3 linked regions of the Sus scrofa genome follow. The protein of the gene in region 2 purifies or fractionates together with the protein of the main gene of each other region. This does not show direct contact. Links are inferred from orthologs where the notes say so. Each region holds a gene or a part of one and is shown on either strand. Other genes may lie near its edges.

Region 1 (5,974 bases), on a different chromosome or scaffold from region 2:
TGCGGCATATGAAGGTTCCCAGGCTAGAGGTCTAATCGGAGCTGTAGCAACTCGGGATCCAGGCTGTGTCTGTGACCTACACCACAGCTCATGGCAATGCCAGATCCTTAATCCACCGAGCAAGGCCAGGGATTGAATCTGCAACCTCATGGTTCCTAGCTGGATTTGTTTCCACTGCACCACAACGCACCCATTATATATTTTCATAACGCCCCATACTTTTCCTTCATAATACCTATCACAGTTTGTCAGTCATTCATCTGTGAGGCTATTTGATTAATGGAAGCCTCCTCTACAAGACTTATATCCCGTGAGGGCAGGGACCATAATGGGTTTTTTTGCATGACTTTATACCACAGTAACTGGCATAGAGTAAATCCTCGGTAACTGCTTACTGATTCATTCATTCATTCAACAATCACTGAGGAAGAATATACCATTAGTTACAGTTCTAGGGGTCAAAATTCCTTACCTATCAAGCTCAGTTTAGGAACCAGGTACATGTCCTTTTCATTGATGACAAGATTAGGGGCAGGTGGCAATGGCCCAGGGTCTGAATTCTCAGTGGCAGGCACCAAGGGGCAACGCTGCACGAAGTGTGTGTCTGCTAGTCGCACAAATGTGTTCGATACCTCAGCATAGTCCATGGTCTTGCCATCTGTACAACAGGAGGAAAGAGGCAGGTGAGATGGCCTCAGACAGCTAAGGGGCCACTCCTGCAGCCAGCCAATCTATGCTTTTGCTAACAGCTGTGGGTACAGTACTGACCCTCCATAGTCTCTGTGAGCCGATCTGCTACTTTCTTCACAACAGCTGACATTGTCATTTTGCCGTTCAACAGCAGCTCCTCAACAATCAGCTCTCCAGTGTCACTGTACAGCGTTTTGGCAGTATAGATGTACCGGGGATACCTAAGCATTCGCAACACCCGGCTGCACTGGGCTTCATACTCCACCACACCACGTTTGTGCACTTGATATATCACCAGGTTATGCTGGATGAGGACACAAAGGGCTTTTTTAACCTAGAGAGGACACAAAAGAAAGAGAAAAAAAAATTGGAAAATGCAGTTCATTATTGTTGGCAATTTCTGTCCAACAATTTACTAAACTTCAGGAGATGGCTGGAACCTCCGTGCATCTTCTCTCTCTCCATTGGAATAGCTGTTAAGAATCGCATTGTTCATCTTATGAAGAAATCAGGAGGATTCCTAGCTCATATTTCCTCTGATCTTTATCTTACAAAGTACAACTTACTTGCTCTCTGTTACTGCCATTCCTTAAAGGTAGTGCTGAAATTAATAGACTCATCATGCATGAATGAAGTATGGCAAATGAAAAGCACAGGTTTGCCTAAGAAGCCACAGTGAGCCAGATCGCTTTGAGAAGCAGAACCTTAGGCACTATGTCTCATCCTCTCTCCCTCCCAATGACACTGTTCTGATCTCAGTGTAGCTCTCTTTTGTATTTTGTGGGGTGGGGAGTAGTAATATTCAAGGGTAGGTAAAGGAAACTAATGAAATAAAAGCAAATTAGTGTGATCCAAACATACCTGATCCAGCGATGTTCTTGTGTCATGGGCAATAACTCTTAGTGGCTGGCTGCCAGTTCTGATTAGGTGGACTCCAATTTTTTCTACAATCTCTCCAAAATGCTCTTGCAGCAATAAAGAACACAGTTTAATTTCTGCTTGAGTCATTGTACTGAGAAGTCTCAGACCTGAGAAAAGAAAAGAAAAGAAAAGAAAAAATAGCACGATGGGAAGTTTTTCTTTTATGTTGGAGTAGAGCTGCTAAGTGTAAATTCATGTACTTTTTGGAGGGCAACTTGACAGTAGATACGTCAAAAGCCTTAAAATCTTGCATATCTTTGACCTAATACTTTTGCTTTGGCTATTTTGTTTCAAGCGAATAATAATGATGTCACTTTAGAATACTGACATTCCAGAAACAATATAATATCTAACAATACGGGATTATTTCAATAAATTATGGTAGACTCATACAATGGCATACTACGTCTATGTTTACAATGAAGTGTAACATGTATTAGTGTACAAAATTGTTCATTAAGTGAAAGAAGCAGGTTACAAAGCAAAATGTAGAAGAAACTTAAATTATTGTGAAAAAAAAACCCCCTTTTTTCTTATAGGTATAAGAAAAAAAAGACTGCAAGACAATATATCAAACTTATCCTTATGGGATGTACGAGTCCAATTTTCTTTAAATATCGTGTGTAGATGATTTTATTTGGAGGAATTAAGGACACTATTCACAGCCTATTGGGAGTGAACAGGAAGTGTCATTCCCAATCCGTAAGAAATGACAACTTTGCAAAATAAATTAGGAGCGTCTCAACAGAGTGTTTCAAACAACAGATGAAGCATGTTGTTGGCAGGGCAGTATTCTGAAATTTCTACTCCTTGACAAAGTAGACACAAAAAGAAACAAACATAGTTGACTATAAAATCACTTGTTGTCATAAGTGCTACCACACACTGGTCTGTTCATTTATTTCTCCCAATCCCTCAGAAGCCAAGACTGTGTCTTTCAGTCTCAGTATTCCCACTCACAGGTCTTTGGGGAAGTATCCCCAGACCATCTGCCATCCTTGATAAGGATTTCCAAGGAACCTGGCTCCTGATTCTACACTTCCTTCCCCCAGGTTCCGGTTCCGGACTGGGTCCCTGGGTCTAGAGAAACGGCCTCATTCAGACCGCATTTTCCACTAACCTCTGGGTCAATGCAATCTAAAGCCGCCGCCGACCTCGTGCGGCTCCAGCCAGCGGCTCGAGCAGAAGGCACCCCAAGGCCCTTTTGCGCAGGAGCCCGGCCAACGAGGAGGGTCAGCAAAGAGGAAAAACGTGTGCCGCTCTACCCCAGCGTTTCGGTGGTTTCCGGGGACGCTCTTGCTTCCTTCTCGCTGGGAGGTTGGAGGACCGGCGAGGGGTGTTAGAGGAGCCGGCGGGAGGGCAGCGCCGGACGGACTCTCCTTCCTGTAGCTCTTTGGTGCCGGGAGGCGGGCCGTGGGGTCGCCGTCCTCGCCGACGCCTTGTGGGCCGGGCGGGCTCACGTGACCCGCGCGGACTCTGGAGCGGCCAGCTGCGCTGAAGAAGCGGCGGCGGCGGAGGCAGAGGCGTCTCTTGTAGCCGGGAGGTAGCGGCCTGGGGAGCGACGGGCCGGCTGCCCTCTCGGACGGCGGCGCCGGGAGAGAAAAATGGCGGAGGCCTCGGCGGCCGGGGCCGGCGCAGGCGCCGCTGTTGCCGCGCACCGGTTTTTCTGCCACTTTTGCAAGGGCGAGGTCAGCCCCAAACTACCGGTAAGAGTGTGTGTCCTCTGCACGCCAGCGTCCGCGTGGGTTCCTCGTCCGGATGTCCCAGAACGGCGCTTAGGCTTCCCGCACAGCCCCGACTCCCCTGACATGGGTATCCCAGGTACCTGCTGCCCACTGTCTCCTAAACCCCGGGCGTCCGGGCTGTGTGGCTCAGTAACTCCCGCCCAGCCTTTTTTCCATTCGGATGCTCCACCTGTCCCTCACTCTTTCCCCTTTTTACCTGCCCTCTATTATTTTTTTTTTCCTGGTTTTCCTTAGCAAGTTTTCTGCTGACCCCCTCCTCTCCGTTTTCTTACATTCTTCTTCACCTTGTCTCTTTCCACAATGACCTCCCCCCCCCTTCCGCTGTTGCTTCTCATCTTTATTTCCTTTTCCACTTTTCATCAGATCTCCCCTTCCACTATCCTCATTGAAGCAATATAGCGGATTGCTGAGGATTGTCTTTATTCATTGTCTCTAGGGAAGGAGGGAAGAAAGCGGGGCGGGGGGGGGAGGGAGGGTTGGAAGGTAACTGGGCAGAGAGGGGGATTTTACTCTTCAGGGGTTTCCAGCGTTCTTGTGAAAGTGAAAACAGCGGTGTACTAATGACTTGCGGACTGCGATCCCAATCACTGTCGAAGGAAATGGCTTTAGGAAGAAGGCAGAACATATTCTTTCAACTCTCTTATTTTGGTTGTCATGCTGCCAGTATCTTTAGCACCACCTGCCTTACCCGCCCCTCCTTCCCCTCCCCCATTCTCTCTCTTCACTTAGTGAGAAGATCTAGGACAGAATGTTGGGGACTGCATCCTCTGACGTAAAATTGGTTTTCGTCAGTTTCTGCCAGACTGTGTTAGCCCCTAGAGAGGTAGTGCTGTTGGCTGTGGAAAAAAAGTGCTTCTGCAGCATGCTTGCCAGCTATTGCACCCCAAGCCCAGAGGCTGTTTTAGGTTGAGTTACTACTGCAGGGAGATCCACCAGGGTGAATGTTAATCCTACCTTTGGCCAACCATCTTTAGAACTAGTTATGGTTGTTCTTTTCCTTAGAAGTATCTTTGTTCAGCCTTAAGAGGGTGTCTGTGTAACTACTTATCTCAGTGTTTATAGTGTCTCAGATACAATCTGTGAGAAAGCCTATTAAAGTGTGTCTCTGTGTCTTAGTTCTTAGAAACACCAGTGGAGTCCAGTGAAAAGTGCCTAAACAGTATTTTAGCCTTTTCACTTGAGTTGTGCTTTTTCAGGCTTTTGCTGTATTTTCTTTCTTCTCTATTTGCCCCACCCCTAACTTCATGGTCGTAGTTTCATCTACACGCTCTTTTAGTTTTGCTTGGATGATTTGGCTGTGTGTCTGTGTCTGTGTGCTTTTTGCTATACTTCAGTGCTGAGAAGAGCAGGTGCCGTGGCTTGTTTGTTTGTTTGTTTGTTTTTCCAGTGGACATTGGAGGCTCCAGAACTCTTCCTTACCACAGAGAGGGAGTCTGGAATTCAGCCAGTGCATGTGTGATGAGTGACATGTTGAATGTGATGCCCTAATGAACAGTGAGGCCTTGGCTATTCTGATCTTTAAGTTGCTGTTCACCGTTTGCCTTTGAGAGTGAGAAAACAGTCTAACTTTCCTCCACTTACTGTATCTTTTCTCCCTACCATCTCAAGTCCTCACTTCAAAGTGCTCTTGAAAAGGGCTCATTTGAAAGACTTTTTAGGTGTTTTTCTAAGCCTTAGTTTGATGCCTGGAGGAGAAGTCATTGATCTTTCTAGTCTGATTTATTATCTGTCATGCCTGATTTGTAAATTGAGGCATAACACTTTTAAGTGTAACGGAATACTTCCCTGCAGACATACAAGGTTCTCAACTGAAGGTCCTGGAGGTAATACTGAGGAATATATGGTTTCTGCTCTTAAGCACCTCACAGTATTGTTAAAAGTAATAACCAAGGTGAATGAGGATGGATAATATGTGCTTTAGAATTCAGAGGGAGGTGTTGGTGATATGAGGTTGGGAAGAAGTGACAAACAAAATGTGATTTAAATTTGAGTTTTTTTTTGTTTTTTTTTTTTTTTTTCTGCGTCCAAGGTGTGTGGAAATTCCCTGACCAGGGATCTAACCTGTGCCACAGCAGTGACAATGCCAAATCCTTAACTGCTGGGCCACTAGGGAACTCCTAAATTGAGTTTTGAAGGATAGGTAGAATTCAGATTGAGGACAATAGCATAGACCGAGTTAGAAAAGGAAGAGTGAGTTGAGGAAGAAAGGAGAAACCTTTAGTAAATCATTGTTGCTATGCATATTTATTTATTTATTTATTTATTTATTGCCTTGCCATCTTGAAAATGTCATCTTAAAAATGTTGGTTGTAAGAATGATCAGGTTAGTAAGTGGCTGATTCAGTATATCTCTTTCTCTGCTTCTGAAAAACCAACTCAACACTGGTTAGTCAGTAATGATTTTTGTGTATGTAGGACAACACTGAAGAGGGCTTTTTTTTTTTTTTTTTTTTTTTTTTTTGCCTTTTTTTGTCTTTTTAGGACCATACCCGTGACATATGGAAGTTCCCAGGCTAGGGGTCCAGTCGGAGCTGTAGCTGTCAGCCTATGCCACAGCCACAGCAACGCAGGATATGAGCTGAGTCTGCAACCTACACCATAGCTCATCGCAACGCCAG
Region 2 (5,806 bases):
CAGAGGAGAGACAAAGTGACTTAAGATTTAAAAGGAGGAGTTCCCATCGTGGCCTAGCAGAATCGAATCTGACTAGGAACCATGAGGCTATGGGTTCGATCCCTGGCATCACTCAGTGGGTTATGGATCCGGCGTTGCTGTGAGCTGGGGCATAGGTTAAAGACACGGCTCAGATCTGGCATTGCTCTAGCATAGGCTGGAGGCTACATCTCTGATTAGACCCCTAGCTGGGAACCTCCATATGCCGTGGGTGCAGCCCTAAAAGGACAAAAAAAAAGGATTTAAAAGGATCAGGAGTTCCTATCATGGCTCAGTGGTTAATGAATCTGACTAGCTTCCATGAGGACACAGGTTCGATCCCTGGCCTTGCTCAGGGGGTTAAGGATCCTGTGTTACTGTGACTGCAGTGTAGGCCAGGAGCTATAGCTCTGATTTGACCCCTAGCCTGGGAATGTCCATATGTCACAGAAGCAGCCCAATAAAGCAAAAAAAAAAAAAAAAAAAAAAAATTTAAAGGAATCAGTGTGGATGCTCTGTTGAGAATATACTGTAGAGGGTAAGGGCCGAAGCAGACAGACCCTTTAGAAGACCAACAGCAATCAATCATGTAAGGAGGTAAAAAGGACAGCTCTGGCGGCAGCAACGCAAAGGGCAGACTGAAGCAGGAAAACTGGTAACACAATTTCTGTAGGAATGCGGGTGAGGAGCACGGAGGATCTAAACCAGGCTGAGGCAGGAGGAATGGAGAAAGGGAAACAGGGCTGAACCACACATAGGAAGCAGAATCCACGGGACAGGAATGAGGGAGCAGAAGGGTGGAGAAGGAGGTTTCTGACACAGTGTACTGCTATCCCAGAGGGCGAGGCAGAGGAAATCCTGAAGGAGAGGCTTCGGCTTCCAGCCTAAACTAACACACAAGCATCCCCATCCATCGGTCACACAGGACACAAAGCCCCACTTTAGCCATGAAGCTAGTAACTCATTCACCAGAAACTCGTCTTCCTCGGCATCTCCCACTTTCTCAGCCCACATCCAATCTACCAAAATATCTCTTGCATCCGTTTTCTCATCTCCAGCAGTATCAGCACCCAAGTGCCAGCTACAGGTCTCACCTGGAGGTCCGTGAGAGCTCCTGAATTGGCCTCTCCTACTGTTGCTCCTCCCCAAAGTATTCCTTTTTTTTTTTTTTTTTTTTGCCTTTTTGCCTTTTCTAGGGCCGTTCCTGCGACACATGGAGGTTCCCAGGCTAGGGGTCTAATCAGAGCTGTAGCAGCCGGCCTACGCCAGAGCCACAGCAAGGCAGGATCCGAGCTGCATCTGCAACCTACTATCACAGCTCACAGCAACGCCAGCTCCTTAACCCACTGAGCAAGGCCAGGGATCGAACCTGCAACCACTGAGCCACCACGGGAACTCCCCAAAGTGTTCCTTTAAAGTGTAAACTGGACCATGCCACTCCCCAGCTCAAAACTTGTCCGTGGCTTCCCACCACCTGCAGGCTACAACATCCTGCCTGACCTTGGCCCTTACCTCTCCAGCTTTATTCCAGGTCACTCTCCCCCTTGCTCTTTATGTAGCCCCACCCTGCAGCGCTCCTGGTACACAATAAACATTCAACACATGTTTGCTCAATGAATGAAGGGGATATTTCACCTGTCAGTAAACTAACCACCCCAGAAGCTACAGGCTGTGGTCCAAGTGGACAAAATCCTTCAGGCCCACCCTGCGGGCCACCTCCACCACCCAGGACTAGACCTCTCCTCACTCTAACTGGCCTCACTACAGACAAGAAGCAGATGCATTCAGTCATCACTGGCCGGGCTATCTGGCAACTTGGGCTGCCGAGAGGAGAGCCCAAGGCTAAACACTTACCTCCTCGGCATTTTCCAAGTCATCTAGCCCTTCGTCCTCCTCCACATCGTCAAAGTCATCGCCATCAAAACTGTACAAGAAGAAAGCAGAGCATCACTTACAAGAATCAAAGAGGGCATAGATCTGATAAGCAGGAGGTGCTCAATAAATATGCACTTACTGAGTAAATCATTTTATAATAATAATTTATTAAGTCATTTGATGTCCTCAACTTACTAAAACAAAGCTTCCTTTTCTTTTCTTTTGGTTTTGTCTTTTCTAGGGCCACACCCGCGGCACGTGGAAGTTCCCAGGCTAGGAGTTTAATCAGAGCTGTAGCCACCAGCCTACACCAGAGCCACAGCAATGCCAGAGCCAAGCCGCATCTGTGACCTACACCACAGCTCATGGCAACGCCGGATCCTTAACCCACTGAGCAAGGCCAGGGATCAAACCTGCAACCTCATGGTTCCTAGTCAGATTCGTTAACCACTGAGCCATGACAGGAACGCCAAAGCTTCCTTTTCTATTCCCTCCAGAGCCCTATTTCCATGCCCCCCTGTGGGAGAAAAATTCATGAAAGAGTCGTCCATCTTCGCCATTTCCAATTCTTCTCCTCACATTCTGTCATCATCTCACTCCCAAAGACTTTCAGCTCCTTGGCTCCACCAAAACCACTCCTTTCAAGTTCATCAATGATTTGCACGTTGCTAAATCCACTGGTCTATTCTTGTTCTCATTTAGCCTGATCTGTCAGGTGGCACACCGAATCACTCCCTCTCACTCAAAACACTCTCCACTGGAGTTCCCGCTGCGGCGCAACAGGACTGGCAGCATCTCTGGAGCACTGGGACACAGGTTCGAGCCCTGGCCCGGCACAGTGGGTTAAGGATCCAGCACTGCTGCAGCTGTGCCATAGGTCACAACTGTGGCTCGGACCTGATCCCAGGCCCAGGAACTCCAGATGCCACAAGGGCGACCAAGAAAGAAAGAAAGAAAAGGACACCTCGCGGTCTTGGTGTTCCCCCGCCTCACAGTGGCTCTTTCTCAGCTTCTCTTCCCTCCAGGCACTCCACAGTTAGGATGCTCTGACGCTCATTCATCTCCTCTTCTCTACTGACCACCCACCCCCCTGCCGCCTCCCCATGATCGCCCCCTCTCTTAGCTTTGACTAATACTCTTATGCTAAAGACGCCTCTATTTTTGTCTCTCCTCCACACATTCAGGGAATCTTTCCGGTTCTAGCTTCAAAATAAACCCAGAAATCAAAACCACTTCTCACTACCTCTACTACGATTACCTAGTACAAGTCACTCCTTTTTTTTTCCTGGATTACCGCAAGCCTCCCAGACTTTTACCACCTCAAGTCTCCCCAGACCCTCCGCTGGGTTTCTTTTACATACTTCGTGCAATTCACACGACCCCTGCAGTATCCGTCTGTGGGCCTGTCCCCTTTTCTAGAAAGGGCCCCCTACCTGAAGAGCAGGAGCTATGCCTAATTCACCTCAGTAATTCCAAATCAAGAGACAGAGCCCGACTCCGTGAAAGTTTGTGGAAAGATACCACGTTCACTGATTCTCTCCGGATCCTCAAACTGGGGCTTTTCTTGGCCCAGCCTGTGACCAGGTCTAAGCTCCTGGTCCCCCCGCCTTTCCCTTCTTCAGCTCCGCGGGCCCCTCAATACCCCCAGTCCCCTCACGCATTGCCCCTCGGTTAACGGCTCCTTAACCTCCTTTGACCAGGCTCGGCAAAGCTCACTTTGCTCCCGCACTCACTTGTCCTCGTTGTCAGACATGACGCCCGCGCCGCAGCTCCCTGGTTCTGCGCTAAGAGTCGCGCGGAGACCCGCAAACTGCGCGCCTCCGCCACGAGCTGCGCCACGCGCACTCTGCGCCTGCGCTGTGACCTAGAGGCAATTGCTTCCGGGAGGATCGGCAGGGCGATAGTGCGCACGCGCCGAGAAGCTAGAGCTTGTTACCATGGTAGCCAGAGTGTATAACCAGAGCTTGAGCAGCGGAGATCTCAAAAGCATTCCTGCAGGGCTCCGGCGCGGGTGCTCCTTCAGAGCCTAGCGGCCACTCTCAGTGGGCACCCAGCCGGAGTCTTACCTAAGAGTGAGGTTTCCGTTTGGGTCTATCACACAACGGGCAAGGTTACCCTAACGCCCCTTTCCTCCAGAGGTGGCTTCCCTGCCACAGGCGCCGGGTCTGGATGAGGTCTCTGTTCGCATGTGTGTATCTGCCAGTGGATCTGTTCCGGGTGGGAGGATTGGGCACTGTCGCGATATTGATGGGCGGCGTCACGATTCTCTTGCGGGCCCCGCCCCCGCCAGACCCAAACTTTGGGTGGTGTTGGGGATGCGGAAGCAGAGGTTGTATATGGGAGACAGGGGGTGTGTCGTCGCGTTTTTCCCTCCTCAGAGCCCTCCCATGGCTTCCCAGGAGAGGGTGGAGACTGTGACCAAAGGAACTGGCTTCTGGCGCTGCCCCAAGCCGGCCGCTTACACCCCAAGAACCTGCGAGCTGCTCAGAGGTCAGTGGTGGTCGGGCGGGGCGGGGCGGTGGTGTCAGTGCATGAAAGGACAAAAGGAGAGCGGTAGTCACTGTTAACCTCTGTAACTCAGTTCTCACCTGCATGACTTATGGCTTGCAATTGCTGTTTTCATTTTTCAGATAAGAAGCCTGGGGTTCAGGAAAGTTTGGGGGTCCTGCAACTCGAAAGTGGCCAAAAGTCAAAGAACTCACGAATTTTAGAGTAGTTAACTGCTATGCATCCCTTATATCACACTTTTTTTTTTTTGGTTATTCTTTTTTTTTGTAATTGTTATTTCCCCAATACAATTTTTTTTTTCCTACTGTACAGCATGGTGACCCAGTGACACATACTATATCACACTTTCAATTTCTCCAGAGAAGCCTTATTTCCTCCCCACCCACCACCAACACAGTGCAACCAACCGTTAGGTGCCCACACACTCCCAGTGCCTTTTCCTTCACTGGGCTTAGCGTAACCTGTAGTCAGATACCTTGTGTGTCCCTATGAATTCATGTTGAATTAACATCCATCTGCCCTTCTAGTTCATGAACTCCCATCAGGACACGGTGCCTGTTTTGGCTCGCAATTGTAACTCCAGCCCCTGGCACATGCTTAATGACTGCTTGTTCATTCACTCAACAACAACAAAAAAAGATTTTAAGCCCACTGTGAGCTTTTAGACATTGTTCCAGTTGCTGATGATACAGCAGTAAAAAAAAAAAAAAAAAAAGAAAAAGAAAAAAAAATCTTGTGGAGTTCCCTTCGTGGCTCGTGGAAACAAATCTGACTAGCATCCATAAGGACGCAGATTCCATCCCTGGCCTCACTCAGTGGGTTAAGGAGCCAGCATTGCCATGAGCTGTGGTGTAGGTCGCAGACATGGTCGGATCTGGCATTCCTGTGGCTGTGGTGTAGACCAATGGCTACAACTCCGATTCAACCTCTAGCCTGAGAACTTCCATTTGCAGCAGGTGTGGCCCTAAAAAGGCAAAACAGAAAAAAGAAAAAAGACTTGCATCCATGGAGCTAATATTTCAGTAGGAATGTTACAATGATAAATAAGTAAAATATATAGAACTTAGATGGTGATGGGTGCTATAGAAAACAATGAAGCAGGAAAGGAAGAGCGGGAGTACACAGGTACAGAATGGGGTCCAGAGGCAAAACGAGGACATTTGCTCGCAGCCCAGGAGGCCTCACTGAAGTGCTTTGTCTTGCAGCCATGATGAAGGAATCCAAACTGACTAACTTCCAACAGCGCCACATCATGGACACCATGAAAAGTAAGCGGCAGTCCACAGAGGCTTCCTGGGCCGAGGGATTTCTGGACCCTAGGACTCTTTTTGGACGGTCAGGAGGGCCTGCAGCATGTGGAAGATCCTGGGCCAGGGATCAAACCCATGCCTCACAACAACCCAAG
Region 3 (6,014 bases), on a different chromosome or scaffold from region 2:
TGTTTGTTTCTTCCACTGTATTAACAGCAGAGATTTCATATACCTACTACCTAGAAGAGTGCTCTCTATACAGCAACAGCTCTATAATCAATGTTAAGCTTTCCTTATTTGTTTACTTATTGTGATTTTATGAGCAAATCTCCCTACAGAAATACAATTCAGTCTGCTCACTTATTAAGGTTTTTGGTTTTTAACTTCTAGAATAAGTTTGGGACCCAGCTGTACACTAGAATCATCAGGAGAGTTAAAATAAACCAACCAACCAACAAACAAAAAGCTCTCAAGCATCACGCTGGAACAACGCATTCACCTCAGAATCTCTGAAGATAGGATTTAGGCAATAGGACCTTTTGTTTTTTCTTTTTTTTTTTTTTTTTTTTTTTTTTTTGTCTTTTTAGGGCCACATCCGCAGCATATGGAGGTTCTCAGGCTAGGGGTCAAATCAGAGCTACAGCTGCCCACCTATGCCAGATCCATAGCATCTTGAGATCGGAGCTGTGACTGAGACCTACACCACAGTTCACTGGCAACAGCAGATCCTTTACCCACTGATTGAGACCAGGGATCGAACCTGCATCCTCATGGATACCAGTGGGGTTCATTAATGCTGAGCCACGACAGGAACTCCCTAGCACTTTTTAAGGCATCCCAGGAGATTACGTGTAACCTAAGTTAAGAACCACTGCTCCAGACTAAATTTCCTGTTATATAGAAGAGGAAAGTGAGACTATGAAGTCCGAAGTCCATTGAGTGCCTAAAGACAAAGAATTAATTCCTAACAAAGATAAGACTGCATTAAAGTGTCAGGATACCCTTCCATTGTCCTTAGCATTTATATTATGCTGCCTGCAGCACACTACCAGGTTAGCTGAAGACCTTTTAAATCGCAGAGATGTCTTTAATCTTTACAATGAAGTGGAATAGTAATGACCAAATGGATTGGATTTAAAAATATAAAATCAGAGGCACCACCCTTCCATTCTGGGATGCTTTCTGAAAATTTCTGTTCAGAAGTGTTCTAAAATAGTTTGACAAGTGCAGTTCAAGCATCCAAGAGCTGAAATGCAAAAGCATGGAAACAATCTTGTGGCAGAGGTTGCGCTCATGCCCGAAATTCCTCCTAGCTCTAACCTTGTGAGTTATAATTGTGGCTTAAATGTATTGTCTTCCACTTCTCACAGTCTCTTGCACAAATTTGCTAAGTGAATAAACATATAAGCAGGTATGGATTCTGAGAGAGGCACTGAAAGTCTGGTCACAGTATCCTTCCTGATGAATGACACTTAAATTGCCCTATTCAGAAGCTGGTCCTGTTGACCTTGTCCTCGACTCCCTTGATATCCTCATTTAATGGTAGAAGACTATCAGTTCTGTGTCCCCTTTCACATATCTGCCTTTCTTCACCATCCCTGACCCGGACCAACCTTCCCATAGCCAGACTTCCTCTTTCAAACCACTCTCCAGACATCCCTCTAGAACATAAACCTTGATGTTTCACTCTCCTTCTTAAGCAACAGAGCTTTGGAGTCTGACTTTGTGCATCTGGCACCTTCTCCTTTCCTGACCACTCCCAAATCTGCCATATCAGCTCTTGCTTGTAGTGTTCTTTCTGCTGGGATGCCACATCCACCTGAGCAAGCCCCATCATCATTTAAGATACCATGCAAATGCCACTTCTCTGAGACCATTTCCTCCACCCTAAGTGGAGCTAGGCCTCTCTCTTTTCTGTCTCCCAAATACTACCCTGTTTTATTACCATTTAAAAAGCATGTTGTAATCATCAGTTCTTGTCTGTCTCCCCATAAGTTCTTCAGTTATCCTTCTTCAAGTATTAATTAAGCACTCTTAGGTCAGGCCATCTTCTATGAATTGGGAATATAATAGTGAATAAAACAAAACCCCTGTTTTCATGGTGCTTAGAGTCTACTACAGGAAAGGGAAAAAATATTTCATAGAAAATGTCAGGTAGTGATCAGTGATGTGGAAAAAAAAAGCAGGAAACATGGGTGCTATTACAGAAAGAGTGGTTGAAGAGGTCCTGTATTCTGTAATATTTGAGCACAAAACTGACAGAAGGAAAAGGCCATGCTGAGAATCAGGAAAGGATATACAAGGGAAAGTGTAATACAAGCAGAAGGATCTGTAAGTGTGAAGGCCTCTTTGAAGATTTATTCACCTCTTCCTGCCCCATCACCAACTAGAGCCTGGCAAAAGTCCAATAAAAATTGGATGAATTATTGCTGAGCTCATGGCTTAGTAAGAATATCACTCCAATTCACCTCCCTTTACCTAGAGGAAAAATAAAACTACAGAGAGCTCTCTACTTTCGTGCTGAGAACATCCTAACAACAGTGGTCTTTTAAGGCCAGCTCAAATGCCTCTACTCATCAGTCCCTTCCATGCATATTCTCATAGCACCTGGTTTTTACTTCCTCTGGGGTACATATCTCATTTGCTTTTTACTGCAAACATTTTTGTGAAGATATTGCTTCCCTCAAATTCCTGAGAACCCAGATCATGACTTTAAAAAAAAAAAAAAAACAACACAATTCTGTTTTTCACACATCATTTAGCTGAGGGACTTGTACATAAGGATAGCCCTGAACAGAGTGTCTGGATAAATTCTAACTAGGTTAGGTAAACATTCAGAAAAGTTGCATCCCCCTCAAAGACTTAAGGTTTATAGGGAAGGAGAGAACACCTCTCCCTCTATGAAGGCTTATTAGTAGCTGAGACAATAAGGGTTTTCATAATTATCTTTTATAATGCTGTCTCATGGGTCTCTTTATAATTTTTCCTGGCTGGATAGGGAGGTTAGTCGAGTTCTCAAGGGAATTGTTTAAGTCTGAATGGATATACCAACAGCGAGGAGCTGAGGGATGGGGACAGGGACCTTATGTTAATACTAGGGATGATTTTTTCAGCTGATGGGGCCACACCCAATCATTATCCACTTTTCCTGCCCTCACAAGGTGCAGCTGCCTCCACCCTTCCTTAGTTGAGCCTTTCTACCAACTTTCTTTGCTCTCTTCCAACAGCGGGCAAAGTAACCAAAACAAGGAAGGGGAGGGGAAGGAATATATAATTTAATTTTTCAGAAGAGAAGTAAAACCTTATCAACAACACCTCTCCTCACAGTACAGGGTAAAGTGCTAACGGTAAAAAACAAAAAACAAAAAACGTACTGAATAGTGCGTCCTTAGCAGCAAGTCTGCGGCAATGACTCGTGTTTGAAGCAATCATACCATCGGAATTGAAAATCAACCATCAGTAAAAGCATAAATTCCCTTCGAACTCACTGAAAACAGTCCTAATAAGTGGAGACAAGATAAAATCTGGAACGACGATTTCAAAAGATTGTGAAGGGATTAAGAGATCTCGCTACGTCCCTCAATCCAGAGGCTCTTTAATGAATCTCCACTCCTGCCTTCCCCGGTCTTTTCCACGTGCCCCTTTAACTCCCCCCCCTACTCATTCCATCTCCTCCCAACCCCTCCATTGCCTCCTCTGTTACCTGCTTACTAAGTCTCGAAGCTTGAGAAAACTGTGCGGCCGAAGTGCCGGCCGGCAAGGAAGGGGTGCGGACAGAAGGTTCCGACGCCGAGTGCTGGTTCCACCTCTGGAAAAACGCGCTCCGCCCTCCACGAGGCCTCAGAATCGCGTTCCGATCGCACCAGTTAGCTCCGCCCACTCGCTAGGTAGGCCCCGCCCTCTGGGGAGAGAGCTTTTTATCCCTTGGCGGGAACCGTACCGGTCCAACCTCCTTGGCCTGACTCTTTCTGCGCCGGCTGGAAGTGCGCATCACGGCGCGCGGTGTGTGGGCGGCCCTGGGGCCTTCCAAACCTGGCCCCTGCCCTCTACAGTCAAACACCTGGCGGTAGGAAGAGTGTCGCTTTCTGAATCCCTTGTCTACTGAATTGACGCTACTTTCTGCTGTGGCCTCTGATGCTGCGATTGTTTCTGCACCGGGGTGCAAGGAGATAGGTCTCTGTTCTTTGCGGACCGGGAGGGAGGGTGCGGAAGGCAGCGTCTCCGAGAGTCCTTCCTCCTCCCAGTTCTCCTCCCACTCCTTTTGCATCCCCCGCCCCCTTCTTGCTCTGCGCCTTCTTCCCGACTGCAGGCAGACCAGTCTATCCCGCCGCAGCGCCGGAGTCTGGGCAGCCTGCAGGAGGCACACACGCCCACACCCACTCCGCCTGGCCGCATCCCTACTCAGCATGTCGGCGCTCGAGTGGTACGCCCACAAGTCTCTGGGCGACGGTATCTTCTGGATTCAGGAACGCTTCTATGAGTCAGGCAACCGCGCCAACATCTGGCTAGTGCGAGGCTCGGAGCAAGACGTTGTGATCGACACAGGCCTGGGCCTGCGCAGCCTCCCGGAGTACCTGTACTCTTCTGGCCTTTTGCAGGACCGCGAGGCCAAAGAGGATGCGGCATGCCGGCCACTGCTGGCTGTGGCCACTCACGTGCATTTCGACCACTCCGGCGGCCTCTACCAGTTCGACCGGGTGGCAGTGCACCACGCCGAGGCCGAGGCGCTGGCTCGCGGGGACAACTTTGAAACCGTGACCTGGCTGTCCGACAGTGAGGTGGTCCGGGCTCCGAGCCCCGGCTGGAGGGCCAGGCAGTTTCGAGTGCAGGCGGTGCAGCCCACCCTCATCCTGCAGGATGGTAATGGCCCTTCACGAGCGCGCGCTCTCTCATTAAGGGAAGGGATTGGGGAGAAACTGTCCGAGGAGTGCTTGTTGCAGACGTGCGTGGCTGTAAGGGGCCTTATTTTGTCCCATCGCAGAAACACTACTTCTGTTTCACCCTTCCTGATTCAAAACCCCAGTCGACATCAGGTCGATGGTAGGCCGTCTTAGTCCTCCTTACCGGAGACCAGCTCTGGCACCGGGTAGCAATGCAGAGTACTCAAATGAGAGCCGGCCCCACCCCCTAGTCAGTTTCCTGTGTAACGTACAGCAATAACACCAACAGAGTCTTATATCTAGGATTTCCATTCTTTCCCCAAACATCTGTCCGACATTTTCAGGCACTTTTCTAGCGAAAAGTCTTCCTTAAAAGGAATGACGCCTCATGGAGAGTGCATGTCATGCTCTATGCTTTTGAGAACTGCTGACTTCATCTGCCCGGTTCACACCTGTAGGCTTAGAAAGCCATTAGAGAGCAGTCAGTGGTTTCAAACTGTTCATTCATCCTTATCTTCCAGATAGGTTTCTGTTCTTGATGTTGCCTCACAAGAGAAGAAGCTTGATAGTGAACATAAAAAGTAGAGTATGTCTGAATCTTAGAGTATGGCAGCTCTCTGTTCTGGTTGAAAGCAAGGCCTGAGAAAGATTAATGAATGAGGAGGCTGTTTCCGATGATGGTGAAGTATGTGGACTGATGCATAAATCACCTTGGGCTTCTTGGCTCTGAAAAAACAAGATGGGGTTCAGAAAGAATAAAATAGGATAGGGTTCCTGCCCTTCCAGCTCTACACAGGCACTTAAATAATTGAACCAGTCATAGCAGTGCTGTTTGTATATTTTCTTTTTAGGATGCTTTTGATGATTTCATTTAATCCTGACAACTCATTGGAAGCGAGGTTGCTGACCCCTAATTAAATGGCTTGCCTAGAATTTACAGAACAAGATAGTAACAAGAGCTAGGATTTGAACCCAGGTGCAATAAGATCAAAGCATGCAGCTCTCACGTTAATCCTCCATAAAACTGGTAATTCTGAGTAGGATGTGAAAGTCCCTTTCATTTCTATCGTGAAACCATTTTATTTGCCAATTTAATCTATTAAATCCTTCCTCTAAGAGGTGGAAAAATCTAGTTGCTGCAGTACAGTAAGGTTCATTTTATGACCAACCAGTATGCAATAATGAAATATTTTACAAAAATGAGATCTTGATCACATGAGATATAAAAAATAGAAAGCAAGATTGTATATCTCACACCCTGCTTAAAAAGTCTTCATTAAAATTTTAAATCTAAAAATTAAAAAAAAAAAAACCCATGGGTTT

What was found. The genes of interacting proteins can lie anywhere in the genome.
Region 1: the proteins of POLR2F (region 2) and POLR3C purify together in Homo sapiens (affinity purification with mass spectrometry; 3 studies listed by BioGRID and IntAct, with this or other methods). This does not show direct contact. The link is inferred for Sus scrofa from reciprocal best matches to the Homo sapiens genes POLR2F and POLR3C.
Region 3: the proteins of POLR2F (region 2) and POLR3G purify together in Homo sapiens (affinity purification with mass spectrometry; 3 studies listed by BioGRID and IntAct, with this or other methods). This does not show direct contact. The link is inferred for Sus scrofa from reciprocal best matches to the Homo sapiens genes POLR2F and POLR3G.

What each region holds. Positions count from the first base shown.
Region 1 is NC_010446.5:99,490,485-99,496,458, forward strand, and holds the start of POLR3C (DNA-directed RNA polymerase III subunit RPC3), read right to left. Parts: upstream 3,654-5,974; 5' UTR 3,318-3,653; coding exon of another isoform or gene 3,216-3,317; 5' UTR 2,732-3,215; exon of another isoform or gene 2,688-2,731; intron 1,724-2,687; exon of another isoform or gene 1,719-1,723; 5' UTR 1,699-1,718; coding exon 1,552-1,698; intron 1,025-1,551; coding exon 769-1,024; intron 659-768; coding exon 473-658; intron 1-472. Other genes in the region: E3 ubiquitin-protein ligase RNF115, read left to right, coding at 3,216-3,317. UniProt on the Homo sapiens protein: DNA-dependent RNA polymerase catalyzes the transcription of DNA into RNA using the four ribonucleoside triphosphates as substrates.
Region 2 is NC_010447.5:9,913,964-9,919,769, forward strand, and holds the start of POLR2F (DNA-directed RNA polymerases I, II, and III subunit RPABC2), read right to left. Parts: upstream 3,759-5,806; 5' UTR 3,647-3,758; coding exon 3,627-3,646; intron 1,943-3,626; coding exon 1,873-1,942; intron 1-1,872. Other genes in the region: C5H22orf23 (UPF0193 protein EVG1), read left to right, coding at 4,080-4,383, 5,607-5,669. UniProt on the Homo sapiens protein: DNA-dependent RNA polymerase catalyzes the transcription of DNA into RNA using the four ribonucleoside triphosphates as substrates.
Region 3 is NC_010444.4:97,645,895-97,651,908, reverse strand, and holds the start of POLR3G (DNA-directed RNA polymerase III subunit RPC7), read right to left. Parts: upstream 3,654-6,014; 5' UTR 3,515-3,653; intron 1-3,514. Other genes in the region: MBLAC2 (metallo-beta-lactamase domain-containing protein 2), read left to right, coding at 4,218-4,671. UniProt on the Homo sapiens protein: DNA-dependent RNA polymerase catalyzes the transcription of DNA into RNA using the four ribonucleoside triphosphates as substrates.